4 linked regions of the Saccharomyces cerevisiae S288C genome follow. The protein of the gene in region 2 purifies or fractionates together with the protein of the main gene of each other region. This does not show direct contact. Each region holds a gene or a part of one and is shown on either strand. Other genes may lie near its edges. The genes, in order: TDH2, TPI1, FBA1 and GPM1.

What was found.
Region 1: the proteins of TPI1 (region 2) and TDH2 purify together in Saccharomyces cerevisiae (affinity purification with mass spectrometry; 2 studies listed by BioGRID, with this or other methods). This does not show direct contact.
Region 3: the proteins of TPI1 (region 2) and FBA1 purify together in Saccharomyces cerevisiae (affinity purification with mass spectrometry; 2 studies listed by BioGRID, with this or other methods). This does not show direct contact.
Region 4: the proteins of TPI1 (region 2) and GPM1 purify together in Saccharomyces cerevisiae (affinity purification with mass spectrometry; 2 studies listed by BioGRID, with this or other methods). This does not show direct contact.

What each region holds. Positions count from the first base shown.
Region 1 is NC_001142.9:453,084-456,572, forward strand, and holds TDH2 (glyceraldehyde-3-phosphate dehydrogenase (phosphorylating) TDH2), read right to left. Parts: upstream 1,599-3,489; coding exon 600-1,598; downstream 1-599. Other genes in the region: MHO1 (Mho1p), read left to right, coding at 1-363; MET3 (sulfate adenylyltransferase), read left to right, coding at 3,156-3,489. UniProt on the Saccharomyces cerevisiae protein: Glyceraldehyde-3-phosphate dehydrogenase (GAPDH) involved in glycolysis and gluconeogenesis. Catalyzes the reaction of glyceraldehyde-3-phosphate to 1,3 bis-phosphoglycerate.
Region 2 is NC_001136.10:555,226-558,263, forward strand, and holds TPI1 (triose-phosphate isomerase TPI1), read right to left. Parts: upstream 1,248-3,038; coding exon 501-1,247; downstream 1-500. Other genes in the region: acid phosphatase DET1, read right to left, coding at 1,831-2,835.
Region 3 is NC_001143.9:325,809-329,383, forward strand, and holds FBA1 (fructose-bisphosphate aldolase FBA1), read right to left. Parts: upstream 1,680-3,575; coding exon 600-1,679; downstream 1-599. Other genes in the region: BLI1 (Bli1p), read left to right, coding at 1-304; cleavage polyadenylation factor subunit MPE1, read right to left, coding at 2,310-3,575. UniProt on the Saccharomyces cerevisiae protein: Catalyzes the aldol condensation of dihydroxyacetone phosphate (DHAP or glycerone-phosphate) with glyceraldehyde 3-phosphate (G3P) to form fructose 1,6-bisphosphate (FBP) in gluconeogenesis and the reverse reaction in glycolysis.
Region 4 is NC_001143.9:163,123-166,451, forward strand, and holds GPM1 (phosphoglycerate mutase GPM1), read right to left. Parts: upstream 1,264-3,329; coding exon 520-1,263; downstream 1-519. Other genes in the region: NNR2 (NADHX dehydratase), read right to left, coding at 1,795-2,808. UniProt on the Saccharomyces cerevisiae protein: Interconversion of 3- and 2-phosphoglycerate with 2,3-bisphosphoglycerate as the primer of the reaction. Can also catalyze the reaction of EC 5.4.2.4 (synthase), but with a reduced activity.

The sequences.
Region 1 (3,489 bases), on a different chromosome or scaffold from region 2:
TTGAATGATGCCATTCAAGAGGAAACAGAAGTGGAAATGTTAACTGCTAGGAGTAAACTTTCACATCATCAAGTTCCCATTTGGCAATCCATTGAAATAATGGACAGATATGCGATGAAAACGCTAAGTGATACTCCAAATGGTGAAAGGTACGATGCTTGGAAACAATACTTGGAAATCACCGGAAACACCATATGCGGCGAAAAGCCAATTAGTGTGATACTAAGTGCTTTATCGAAAATCCGTGATGCCGGTCCTTCAGGCATCAAATTTCAGTGGCCTAATTATTCACAGAGTTCTCATGTGACAAGTATTGATGATAGTAGTGTCAGTTATGCTTCAGGTTATGTTACTATAGGATAATGATCACGGCTAAAACGGTCGAATGTAAGCATATATCTTTCGATTGTATAATTGTTCCCAAATACTACAGCATCTCAAGGAAAAAAAAACAAAAACTTCCAAAAAAATCGAATCCCTGAGGAATCTTTAATACATTTTCAATCTATTTAAGTTTTATAAACGTGTATATGAGATGTCATGAGCATGAATTATTAATAATAAAAACTAAATCATTAAAGTAACTTAAGGAGTTAAATTTAAGCCTTGGCAACGTGTTCAACCAAGTCGACAACTCTGGTAGAGTAACCGTATTCGTTGTCGTACCAGGAAACCAACTTGACGAACTTTGGAGACAATTGGATACCAGCGGCAGCATCGAAGATGGAAGAGTTAGAGTCACCCAAGAAGTCAGAGGAGACAACAGCGTCTTCAGTGTAACCCAAGACACCCTTCAACTTACCTTCAGCGGCAGCCTTGACAACCTTCTTGATTTCATCGTAGGTGGTTTCCTTGTTCAACTTGACAGTCAAGTCAACAACGGAAACATCGACGGTTGGGACTCTGAAAGCCATACCGGTCAACTTACCTTGCAATTCTGGCAAGACCTTACCGACAGCCTTAGCAGCACCGGTAGAGGATGGGATGATGTTACCGGAAGCGGTTCTACCACCTCTCCAGTCCTTGTGGGATGGACCGTCAACAGTCTTTTGGGTGGCGGTCATGGAGTGAACAGTGGTCATCAAACCTTCTTCAATACCGAAAGCATCGTTGATAACCTTGGCCAATGGAGCCAAACAGTTGGTGGTACAAGAAGCGTTGGAAACAATCTTCAAGTCAGAAGTGTATTTTTCTTCGTTAACACCCATGACGAACATTGGGGCGGTGGAAGATGGAGCAGTGATGACAACCTTCTTGGCACCAGCGTCAATGTGCTTTTGAGCAGTGTCCAATTCCTTGAAAACACCAGTGGAGTCAATGGCGATGTCAATGTTTAGAGAAGCCCATGGCAAGTTAGCTGGGTCTCTTTCTTGGAAAGTGGCGATCTTGTGACCATCAACGATGATGTGCTTGTCATCGTGGGAAACTTCACCAGCGTATCTACCGTGAGTAGAGTCGTACTTGAACATGTAAGCGGAGTAGTCGTTAGAGATGAAAGGATCGTTCAAAGCAACAACTTCGACGTTCTTTCTTTGCAAAGCAATTCTCATAACCAATCTACCGATTCTACCGAAACCGTTAATAGCAACTCTAACCATTTTGTTTTGTTTGTTTGTGTGATGAATTTAATTTGAAACTAAGTTCTTGGTTTTTTTAACATTTAAACAAACAATAATAAAATGAATAGACACACAAGAAAAAAACTATCTTGAATGAGTGCAACCTTTATATATTCTTCCAAACCTACAAAAAAATTGCAGGTCTGCGATCACTGGGTACTATCAAAACACATATTAGCATACGTATGTGTTCGTACGTGCGGTCCGCAAGGTCTTTGTGACAGCCATGACATGATTGGATTGAATAGTTCACTTCAGCTGTCACCACCAGTTTTAGGCCCTAACACATCAGTCGAGTTCCACTAGGCTTTGTTAGCCGTAGCTGCGTTGCAACAACTGCGCAAAACGCGCGACTTCCTGTAAATGCCGCAGATCACGTGGTAAAGAAAAGAAACAACAGGCCGACCCAGTTTCGTTGTTTCTTTTCATTATTTCTGGATGCTCTTCACAACGTATTTCATGACATACTTATTGAATTAGTGGAAGCCCAAAACATCATTACCCTGGAAAACTTAATTGACGTAAATTAACTTCAGTTGTCTTATGTTTTTTGCATCCTTAACTTTAGCCGCGCAGGGATAATCATATATGTCGAAAGAGCAACTAAACAATACTTAAAAACGTGTTTGAACTTTTACGAAAGGGTAACGACAAATAATCATTCACTGGAAAAACCAATAAACCATAAGTAAATGAAAAACTGTTTCAACCGATGTTGGTACTTTCCATGTCTTAAAAGAGTACAATTTATAAATTAATGAAAACACAGAAGTATTTAGATCGGCTCAAATGTTTTTGGACATTAAAAGATCTTGAAACTGAGTAAGATGCTCAGAATACCCGTCAAGATAAGAGTATAATGTAGAGTAATATACCAAGTATTCAGCATATTCTCCTCTTCTTTTGTATAAATCACGGAAGGGATGATTTATAAGAAAAATGAATACTATTACACTTCATTTACCACCCTCTGATCTAGATTTTCCAACGATATGTACGTAGTGGTATAAGGTGAGGGGGTCCACAGATATAACATCGTTTAATTTAGTACTAACAGAGACTTTTGTCACAACTACATATAAGTGTACAAATATAGTACAGATATGACACACTTGTAGCGCCAACGCGCATCCTACGGATTGCTGACAGAAAAAAAGGTCACGTGACCAGAAAAGTCACGTGTAATTTTGTAACTCACCGCATTCTAGCGGTCCCTGTCGTGCACACTGCACTCAACACCATAAACCTTAGCAACCTCCAAAGGAAATCACCGTATAACAAAGCCACAGTTTTACAACTTAGTCTCTTATGAAGTTACTTACCAATGAGAAATAGAGGCTCTTTCTCGAGAAATATGAATATGGATATATATATATATATATATATATATATATATATATATGTAAACTTGGTTCTTTTTTAGCTTGTGATCTCTAGCTTGGGTCTCTCTCTGTCGTAACAGTTGTGATATCGTTTCTTAACAATTGAAAAGGAACTAAGAAAGTATAATAATAACAAGAATAAAGTATAATTAACATGCCTGCTCCTCACGGTGGTATTCTACAAGACTTGATTGCTAGAGATGCGTTAAAGAAGAATGAATTGTTATCTGAAGCGCAATCTTCGGACATTTTAGTATGGAACTTGACTCCTAGACAACTATGTGATATTGAATTGATTCTAAATGGTGGGTTTTCTCCTCTGACTGGGTTTTTGAACGAAAACGATTACTCCTCTGTTGTTACAGATTCGAGATTAGCAGACGGCACATTGTGGACCATCCCTATTACATTAGATGTTGATGAAGCATTTGCTAACCAAATTAAACCAGACACAAGAATTGCCCTTTTCCAAGATGATGAAATTCCTA
Region 2 (3,038 bases):
TTTAATAACAGTAATTGAAAAGCAATATTAAAATATAGAAGCCCAAATTTTATATTTCAAATGAATAAATGTTGTTTTTTTTGGCAATTTTTTGCTCTTCTATATAACAGTTGAAATTTGGATAAGAACATCTTCTCAACGCGAAAATGACGCCTCCAGTGAAAAAACATAAACTTTCAATGCAGTCTTCGGTACACTTATGAGTAACCCATATAGAGATCGTACACATTTTACAAGGATTTAGAGACAAAGTAATATTCTTCGTTGATATAGAGGTGTTCAATTGTTAAATGCTTTTCTTCTTTTTATTAGAAAAAGCGCCTTGCTTTTTGTTGTATCACTTGTAAATCTACCGTCCCTTACAAGAACATTCACGAAATTTAAGTGGCTCAGAATGAAAAAGAAACAATATAAAAAAGCTTTCCGTAGTCATCAATTTATTTTACATAACACTAGATATAAAGAAAAGAAGATAATATTTTTATATAATTATATTAATCTTAGTTTCTAGAGTTGATGATATCAACAAATTCTGGCTTCAAAGAAGCACCACCGACCAAGAAACCATCGACATCAGCCTTGTCCTTGAAGGTAACGGCGTTGCTACCGTTAGCGGAACCACCGTATAAGATTCTCAATTCGCTGGCAGCCTTGTCACCCAACTTGGAAGCCAAGAACTTTCTGATGGAAGCGTGAATATCTTGAGCATCTTCTGGAGTAGCAGCCAAACCGGTACCAATGGCCCAGACTGGTTCGTAAGCGACAACGACGTTAGTCCAGTCCTTAACTTCTTCCAAGACAGCGTTCAATTGTCTTTCAACAACATCCAAAGTCTTACCGGCCTTCTTTTCTTCCAAAGTTTCACCGATACACAAGATGACACCGACACCTTGACCTAAAGCGAACTTGGTCTTGTCAGCAATGAACTTGTCATCTTCGTGGAAGTAAGATCTTCTTTCGGAGTGACCCAAAATAACCCACTTAGCACCAACATCCTTGATTTGGTCAACGGAGTTTTCACCGGTGAAAGCACCAGAAGCCTTCAAGTAGGCGTTTTGAGCACCGACAGTGACTTGTGGCTTCTTAACCAAAGAGACAGAGTAGTCTAAGTAGGTAGCTGGAGGACAGATAACAACTTCGACATTTTCTGGGATAGAAGCAGTGTTCAATCTTTCAACAATTTCCTTAATGGATTGTTTGGAACCGTTTAATTTAAAGTTACCACCGACAAAGAAAGTTCTAGCCATTTTTAGTTTATGTATGTGTTTTTTGTAGTTATAGATTTAAGCAAGAAAAGAATACAAACAAAAAATTGAAAAAGATTGATTTAGAATTAAAAAGAAAAATATTTACGTAAGAAGGGAAAATAGTAAATGTTGCAAGTTCACTAAACTCCTAAATTATGCTGCCCTTTATATTCCCTGTTACAGCAGCCGAGCCAAAGGTATATAGGCTCCTTTGCATTAGCATGCGTAACAAACCACCTGTCAGTTTCAACCGAGGTGGTATCCGAGAGAATTGTGTGATTGCTTTAATTAATTTCGGAGAATCTCACATGCCACTGAAGATTAAAAACTGGATGCCAGAAAAGGGGTGTCCAGGTGTAACATCAATAGAGGAAGCTGAAAAGTCTTAGAACGGGTAATCTTCCACCAACCTGATGGGTTCCTAGATATAATCTCGAAGGGAATAAGTAGGGTGATACCGCAGAAGTGTCTGAATGTATTAAGGTCCTCACAGTTTAAATCCCGCTCACACTAACGTAGGATTATTATAACTCAAAAAAATGGCATTATTCTAAGTAAGTTAAATATCCGTAATCTTTAAACACTATGTAGTTAGGTCTCCCTCACAATCAGTCCATTTGGGTAGCACGGTCCTCAGGACGTATCTATTGATGGATTCGTCCAGTTCCATCACCATTACGCTCCCGTTAGGAACATTGGTAAACGATTCAAACTCTTCGTATGTCCATCTAAACCATTTCATCAGGAATACTCTGGAATAAATACCATGTGTAACTAGGACAACAACATCTCTGGGTCTTCTCTCTTGCCTATCATGGAAGTGCCTGAATAAAGTCTCTTGGAAACTGGCGACTCTGTCATATACATCTGCCGCACTTTCTCCATGAGGGAATCTGAAGAAGAAATGACCATACGTAGATCTCTTCTTCATAACGTCCTGCATGCTATTGATTTTTTGGAAATTACCAAAATCTTGTTCCCTTATTCTTGGCTCATCCTTAACCCGATATTGCAGATAACATTTTCCAGGCTTCCCTTCACAAATATTATCTTCATTATTTTCGTAAACACCACCAGTATTATTAAGTCCTCTCGGCCAAAATGCATGTTTCTGTTTACCATGTGGATCATATCTCATATCTTCACATATACGAACACCACTGTTTAATTCATTATATTCATCGATGACGTCCAAAATACCTTTCAATGTTTCCCTTGCTCTTCTATAGGGTGATGTATAAAAAACTATGTTTGTGTCTTTTTCTCTACTCAGCCTGGTATAGTCCTTCAGCGGTAAAGTTCTCCTGCTACTTTCATCTTTAATATACTTCTTAGCCAAATCCTCCACCAAGTTGTGATCGTCTACGTTTAAAACACGTAATAAGTCAATACCAGCTTGTCTAGCTTGGATTTGACCTGTTTTCGTTAAAGAAATCAGATGGTTAGGAATATAACCATTGACCTCCTTGTTTTTATTTGATTCGCTTTCCCCATGCCTTATTAGTACAATTAACCTAGGTCTGGCATTCGTAAAAGAACCGTGACTGCCAGCAACATCTTCACTAACATGAACATTCTCTTCACACATTTCTTTTACTAATACTCTGAGTTATTCAAATGGAATGCTGTAGCGTAAGTTCTTTTATGTTGAACCATGAATACGAGCTGCAATTAATGCAGTTGAGAACTAGCTTTTTTTTTTTCATGCCTCTCGGTCTCTGCAGGATATCGGGTAAAAATGAAAACTGGGACATTAACCGCGGTGGGTACTCGATCATTATTTGTTCAGAA
Region 3 (3,575 bases), on a different chromosome or scaffold from region 2:
ATTGGTGAATTCTTTGCAGGAAAGTTTTGACCTGGATTGCGCGCAAAGTGTATCACTTTTCACCAGTAAATCAAGGAGCAATGAGGCTTGGTTGGAAGAGCTAGAGAATAAATTCAAGTTAAAAGATGATGTTGAACTTGATGATGTGGAAAATTTAAGAGCCGAAATTGACATGAAGTTAAATATGTTGGAGGATAAAGTAAGCTACTATGAAAGACTTTACAAAGAACTCGAAGAGTTCCAGAATGAAATAAAAATTAAAACAGTTGTGAATAACAGAAGACAATCGCGAACTCCAAAATGAGCTATCAAAAACGATAGATCGATTAGGATGACTTTGAAATGACTCCGCAGTGGACTGGCCGTTAATTTCAAGCGTGAGTAAAATAGTGCATGACAAAAGATGAGCTAGGCTTTTGTAAAAATATCTTACGTTGTAAAATTTTAGAAATCATTATTTCCTTCATATCATTTTGTCATTGACCTTCAGAAGAAAAGAGCCGACCAATAATATAAATAAATAAATAAAAATAATATTCCATTATTTCTAAACAGATTCAATACTCATTAAAAAACTATATCAATTAATTTGAATTAACTTATAAAGTGTTAGTGGTACGGAAAGTTTCCAAAGACTTGGTGATCTTAGCACCCATGGTCTTTTCACCTTCTCTAACCCAGACTCTTGGGTCGAAGAACTTCTTGTTTGGCTTTTCTGGACCTTCTGGGTTACCGACTGGGGACATTATGTAGTCCTTCTTGTTCAAGACGTAGTCTCTGATACCAGTCAAGTAAGCGTATTGACAGTCAGTGTCCAAGTTGACCTTGACAACACCGTTGTCAATACCAGTGTGGAATTCTTGGACAGTAGAACCGGAACCACCGTGGAAGACCAAGAACAATGGCTTTTCTTCCTTGCAACCAACTTGTTCTCTGGTGTACTTTTGGTGTTCAGCCAAGATTTCTGGTCTCAAAGCGATGTCACCAGCGTACAAACCGTGACAGTTACCGAAAGCAGCAGCAATGGAGAAGTTTGGAGAGATTGGGTGCAAAGCCTTGTAGACGTTGTAAACTTGTTCTGGCTTGGTGTACAAGTCTTCCTTGTCAGCGTTTTCGTTGTTAACACCATCTTCTTCACCACCGGTAATACCGATTTCCATTTCTAACCATTGGTCCATAGCGGCCATTCTCTTGAAGTACTTGACACAAGTAGAGATGTTTTCTTCATCGGTTTCTTCAGACAAATCCAACATGTGGGAGGAGAATAATGGTTCACCGTGTTCCTTGAAGTAAGCTTCATCAGCTTCCAACATACCATCGAACCATGGCAACAACTTCTTGGCACAGTGGTCAGAGTGTAAGACAACTGGGATACCGTAAGCTGGAGCAATGGATCTGATGTAGTGGGCAGCGGCAATAGCACCCTTGATGGAAGCATTTTGACCTTCGTTAGAGATACCCTTACCAGCGAAGTAAGCAGCACCACCGTTAGAGGTTTGCAAAATGATTGGGGACTTGCTGTCTCTAGCAGCTTCTAAAGCAGCGACGGCAGTAGAAGAAGAGGTGACGTTAATAGCTGGAATAGCGAACTTGTGTTCCTTAGCGTAAGTGAATAAGTTGTGGACATCTTCACCAACGATGACACCGGTCTTTCTCTTTAAGATTTGTTCAACACCCATTTTGAATATGTATTACTTGGTTATGGTTATATATGACAAAAGAAAAAGAAGAACAGAAGAATAACGCAAGGAAGAACAATAACTGAAATTGATAGAGAAGTATTATGTCTTTGTCTTTTTATAATAAATCAAGTGCAGAAATCCGTTAGACAACATGAGGGATAAAATTTAACGTGGGCGAAGAAGAAGGAAAAAAGTTTTTGTGAGGGCGTAATTGAAGCGATCTGTTGATTGTAGATTTTTTTTTTTTGAGGAGTCAAAGTCAGAAGAGAACAGACAAATGGTATTAACCATCCAATACTTTTTTGGAGCAACGCTAAGCTCATGCTTTTCCATTGGTTACGTGCTCAGTTGTTAGATATGGAAAGAGAGGATGCTCACGGCAGCGTGACTCCAATTGAGCCCGAAAGAGAGGATGCCACGTTTTCCCGACGGCTGCTAGAATGGAAAAAGGAAAAATAGAAGAATCCCATTCCTATCATTATTTACGTAATGACCCACACATTTTTGAGATTTTCAACTATTACGTATTACGATAATCCTGCTGTCATTATCATTATTATCTATATCGACGTATGCAACGTATGTGAAGCCAAGTAGGCAATTATTTAGTACTGTCAGTATTGTTATTCATTTCTTAGGGCTTGCGTCAGCTTGATGAGGATTTGTGATAGTAGCCGTTGGAGGCATGAAGGGCATTGGAAACATGGGGAAAGGAGGTATACCGAAAGGTAACGGTACTGGTGGCACTGGCGTACCGCCGTTATTTACAGAAGTTGGAAGGCTGGTATTGTTGTTCAAGCCAGCGGTGCCAGTTGGATCCATCAACTTCATTTTCTTAGTTTCTGGCTGGTTGCCATCTTTAGAGCTTCCGTGTAGTTCCTCTTGTTTCTTCAAAAACGTTTCGACCTCCTTTTCCTTGTCCTGGTCGGGTACTAAAGAATCGAGAAGGATATCGCGGGTTTCGCAATTGGGGCATACAAAGTCGCTCTCTACCAGTGCATTTTCCAGCGCCTCTTTTGAGAAATCTATGTTACAGCACTTGCTTGTCTTTACCGGCTGCCTCAAAAGACCACCTGTCAAGGGACATTTTAAATCGTCAGGAAGATCTTTGAAATGGCCTTTTCTCCAAATGGTTTCATCACCATCAATTTGACGGTTCTCTCTTTTCCTTTGGTAGTCTTCCCATGATTGTTTGTCTTCAACTTGTACCACGAACTTGCCTTCGTCCGTAATCATAATCTTTCGCTGAGCCATCTCTTCCGGTGTCATTGTCTCGGGATCTATTTCAATGGATTTTAAAAACTTCTTTGGAATACCTGTGGTTCTTCTGATTCTTTTTCCTTCAAAATTTGGATCGCTGTTAGTTGGACAATTTTTAATCCAGTGGTCTCTACCCCCACAACGATAGCACATATAACCTGGTGGCGGTGGGCCTTCGTTTTCTTGTGCAGAATTCTTATTCGTCTGTGACTTGAAAAAAACAGGTGTGGCTGCAGACATTTCTTCTTGCGTTTGTTCCCATTGATTTTCTTGTGTGGCAAACATACTAGCAATTCTTTCTTCTTCCGTTGTACCACTAACATTAGCAGTGGTTGTAGCAGTGTGTTGTCTCTTTTGCAACACTCTTGGCCTACCAGTAACATACCTTGTTGCGTTCCCAAGAGCTGCTGCTCCCACATTCCCTTTAAGTCGACTGTGTACGGAGAATGATTTAATTGCTGGAGATCTTTTTACTATGACACTAGTAGATCTAGGTATAACAAAGGCATCATCGTCGTATTCCTCTTCTGTATCTGGGTTGTAAATTTTTAATTGGAAATCTGTGCCGTCACCTAGTTTGTTCTCTTGAATAATTTCCCTTTTCAAATCAAATACTGTCAGGCCGGTACCATC
Region 4 (3,329 bases), on a different chromosome or scaffold from region 2:
TCAACATTGGAATCCCAACAATTATCTCAAAATTCACCAACCTCTCATGGCGCATATTCATCATGCATGTAACTACCACATCAATGTTCAATCATGGACTTTTAACTAATCTTAAGTACTATTCGAACTGCCCATTCAGCTTTTCCCTTTGCAATTGGTGCACTCCTACTTGAACGAATTCGCGGGGTGTACATTAAACTACGATGTAAACATCAAGGTTATTGCTATAACATGTCATGTCACCATTAATTACCACTCATTCCAACATACTGTCCCTGACGAAAACTGTTTATGCGAGCGCAAAATGAACCTATTCAATTAATAATACTCCTCAAATTGCTACCACGACAGGCTGAAAAAAGATGTCGACGAATAATGTAATCGTGTCAAACAAACGTTATCTTGACTATATATAGCTACTTAATTTGAAATAATAAACTATACAAGTCTATATCATTGATATATTCAGTAAGAAAAATGGAGGGAAAAAGAAATCATCAAATCATTCATTCTTCAGACTTATTTCTTACCTTGGTTGGCAACAGCAGCGGCACCAGCAGCGGCAGCTTCTGGGTCCAAGTAGTAAGATGGCTTAGATGGCTTCAAGTTTTCGTCCAATTCGAAGACCAATGGAATACCAGTTGGGATGTTCAACTTAGCAATGTCAGCATCAGAGATACCTTCCAAGTGCTTAACCAAACCTCTCAAGGAGTTACCGTGAGCGGCGATCATGACGGTCTTACCACTCAACAAGTCCTTGGCAATGACATCTTGCCAGTATGGCAACAATCTGTCAATGACCAAAGCCAAAGATTCAGTTTCTGGCAAGACATTTGGGTCAACGTACTTGTATCTTTCATCACCCTTTTGAGAGAATGGAGAAGAAGCGTCGATTGGGGGAGGTGGAACATCGAAGGATCTTCTGTAGGTGTTGAATTTTTCTTCACCGAACTTCTTCAAAGTTTCAGCCTTGTCCTTACCTTGTAAGTCACCGTAATGTCTTTCGTTCAATCTCCAGGATCTGTTGACTGGAATCCATAATCTGTCAGCCTTTTCCAAAGCAATGTTAGCAGTTTGGATAGCTCTGGACAACTTGGAAGTGTACAAGACGTCTGGGTAGACCTTCTTTTCCTTCAACAATTCACCGGCTCTAGCGGCTTCTTGTTGACCCTTGGCAGACAATTTAACATCAACCCAACCGGTGAATAAGTTCTTTTCGTTCCATTCGGATTGACCGTGTCTAACTAAAACTAACTTTGGCATTATTGTAATATGTGTGTTTGTTTGGATTATTAAGAAGAATAATTACAAAAAAAATTACAAAGGAAGGTAATTACAACAGAATTAAGAAAGGACAAGAAGGAGGAAGAGAATCAGTTCATTATTTCTTCTTTGTTATATAACAAACCCAAGTAGCGATTTGGCCATACATTAAAAGTTGAGAACCACCCTCCCTGGCAACAGCCACAACTCGTTACCATTGTTCATCACGATCATGAAACTCGCTGTCAGCTGAAATTTCACCTCAGTGGATCTCTCTTTTTATTCTTCATCGTTCCACTAACCTTTTTCCATCAGCTGGCAGGGAACGGAAAGTGGAATCCCATTTAGCGAGCTTCCTCTTTTCTTCAAGAAAAGACGAAGCTTGTGTGTGGGTGCGCGCGCTAGTATCTTTCCACATTAAGAAATATACCATAAAGGTTACTTAGACATCACTATGGCTATATATATATATATATATATATATATATATATATGTAACTTAGCACCATCGCGCGTGCATCACTGCATGTGTTAACCGAAAAGTTTGGCGAACACTTCACCGACACGGTCATTTAGATCTGTCGTCTGCATTGCACGTCCCTTAGCCTTAAATCCTAGGCGGGAGCATTCTCGTGTAATTGTGCAGCCTGCGTAGCAACTCAACATAGCGTAGTCTACCCAGTTTTTCAAGGGTTTATCGTTAGAAGATTCTCCCTTTTCTTCCTGCTCACAAATCTTAAAGTCATACATTGCACGACTAAATGCAAGCATGCATGATATAGCTCCTGTCAAAGTATCACCTTGGCCTCCTACCCTCTTGTTGCTGCCCTCTTCGCTGTTCGTCAACATGTCTTTTTCACTATCGGGTGAGAATATCTTATCTGACTGACCTTTCTCCACCACAATACAATTCAATTCCTGGGCGATCAAGCTGCCCATCTCGGAGTGAGAGTCTCCCTTCTTGCCTATGGCATCACATAGTCTTTTGAATTCTACCACATTGGGCGTCAAGATCACTCTACCTTTGGGGTAGCTTTTCAGCATTTCTTTGACTTCGCTATCTTGAGTTACTAAGAACAGTCCATCAGCATCAATTACTAACGGGATCTTGCCCTCATGTTTTTCAAGTATATATCTTATGATATCCTTAATGGATTTTAACATTAGGGGGTCCCTACCCAAGCCGGGTCCAATTACCACAACGTGGATTCTATCCAATAAGGAATTGATTTTCTTCCTTTGTTCGTCCATATCAACGTCTAATTTGGTGTTACTCATACGAAGGTATGGATGAACCATTAGGTTTGGGGTGTACGATTTAATGACCGTACCAGCGTTGTATTCGCAGATGACATGTGTCAAATCACAGCCCATCAAGGCTGTAGCATTGGCGCTGAAATACGGTGCCCCTGTATAATCTTCGCATCCTCCAATAATGCAAACTCTCCCACCAGACTGTCCCTTATGAAACTTTGGCAATAAAGGTGGTATACATCTTTTCTGCGCCAACTTTATCAATTCTCTATGAGACAATTCTGCTAACATTTCCAGTGATACGGTAGTGATCGTATTGAACTGGTGTTGCTAATAAAATTTCACCGACGCCTATATACCTATTTACACCTTTACATATATATCTACTAGATCACGTTGCAAGACCCATCACATCGCATCACATCACATCACTCCCTATTCTGCCCTTTACAGCGCAAAGGAGTCGTGTGTGGGTGTGTGCTCCTTTTGACGATCATAAGAGTCCATTTCTAGTATGCAAGCTGGTAACAATAGGTGAATGAATTAGGTTCATTTGCGATGACCTTCAGTATCCCTCCACGCAATGCTAAACTATCCCCCTCATTATGACGCCTATATCGTATAAGGAACTTGTTACCCCTGACAATTCAAACTTCAAAGGTCTAAGACCAAACAAGCGTAGGAACTATCGCTCGGAGTGTTTCTCCGTTTGAAAAAAGAAGAGAAATAAGGGCCCTTGATTGGTGTCTTGTCGAGAGAGGTACGTATATAAGAATGCAGTTTGCTCGCAATGCCCGCTTGTGTTAAGTACT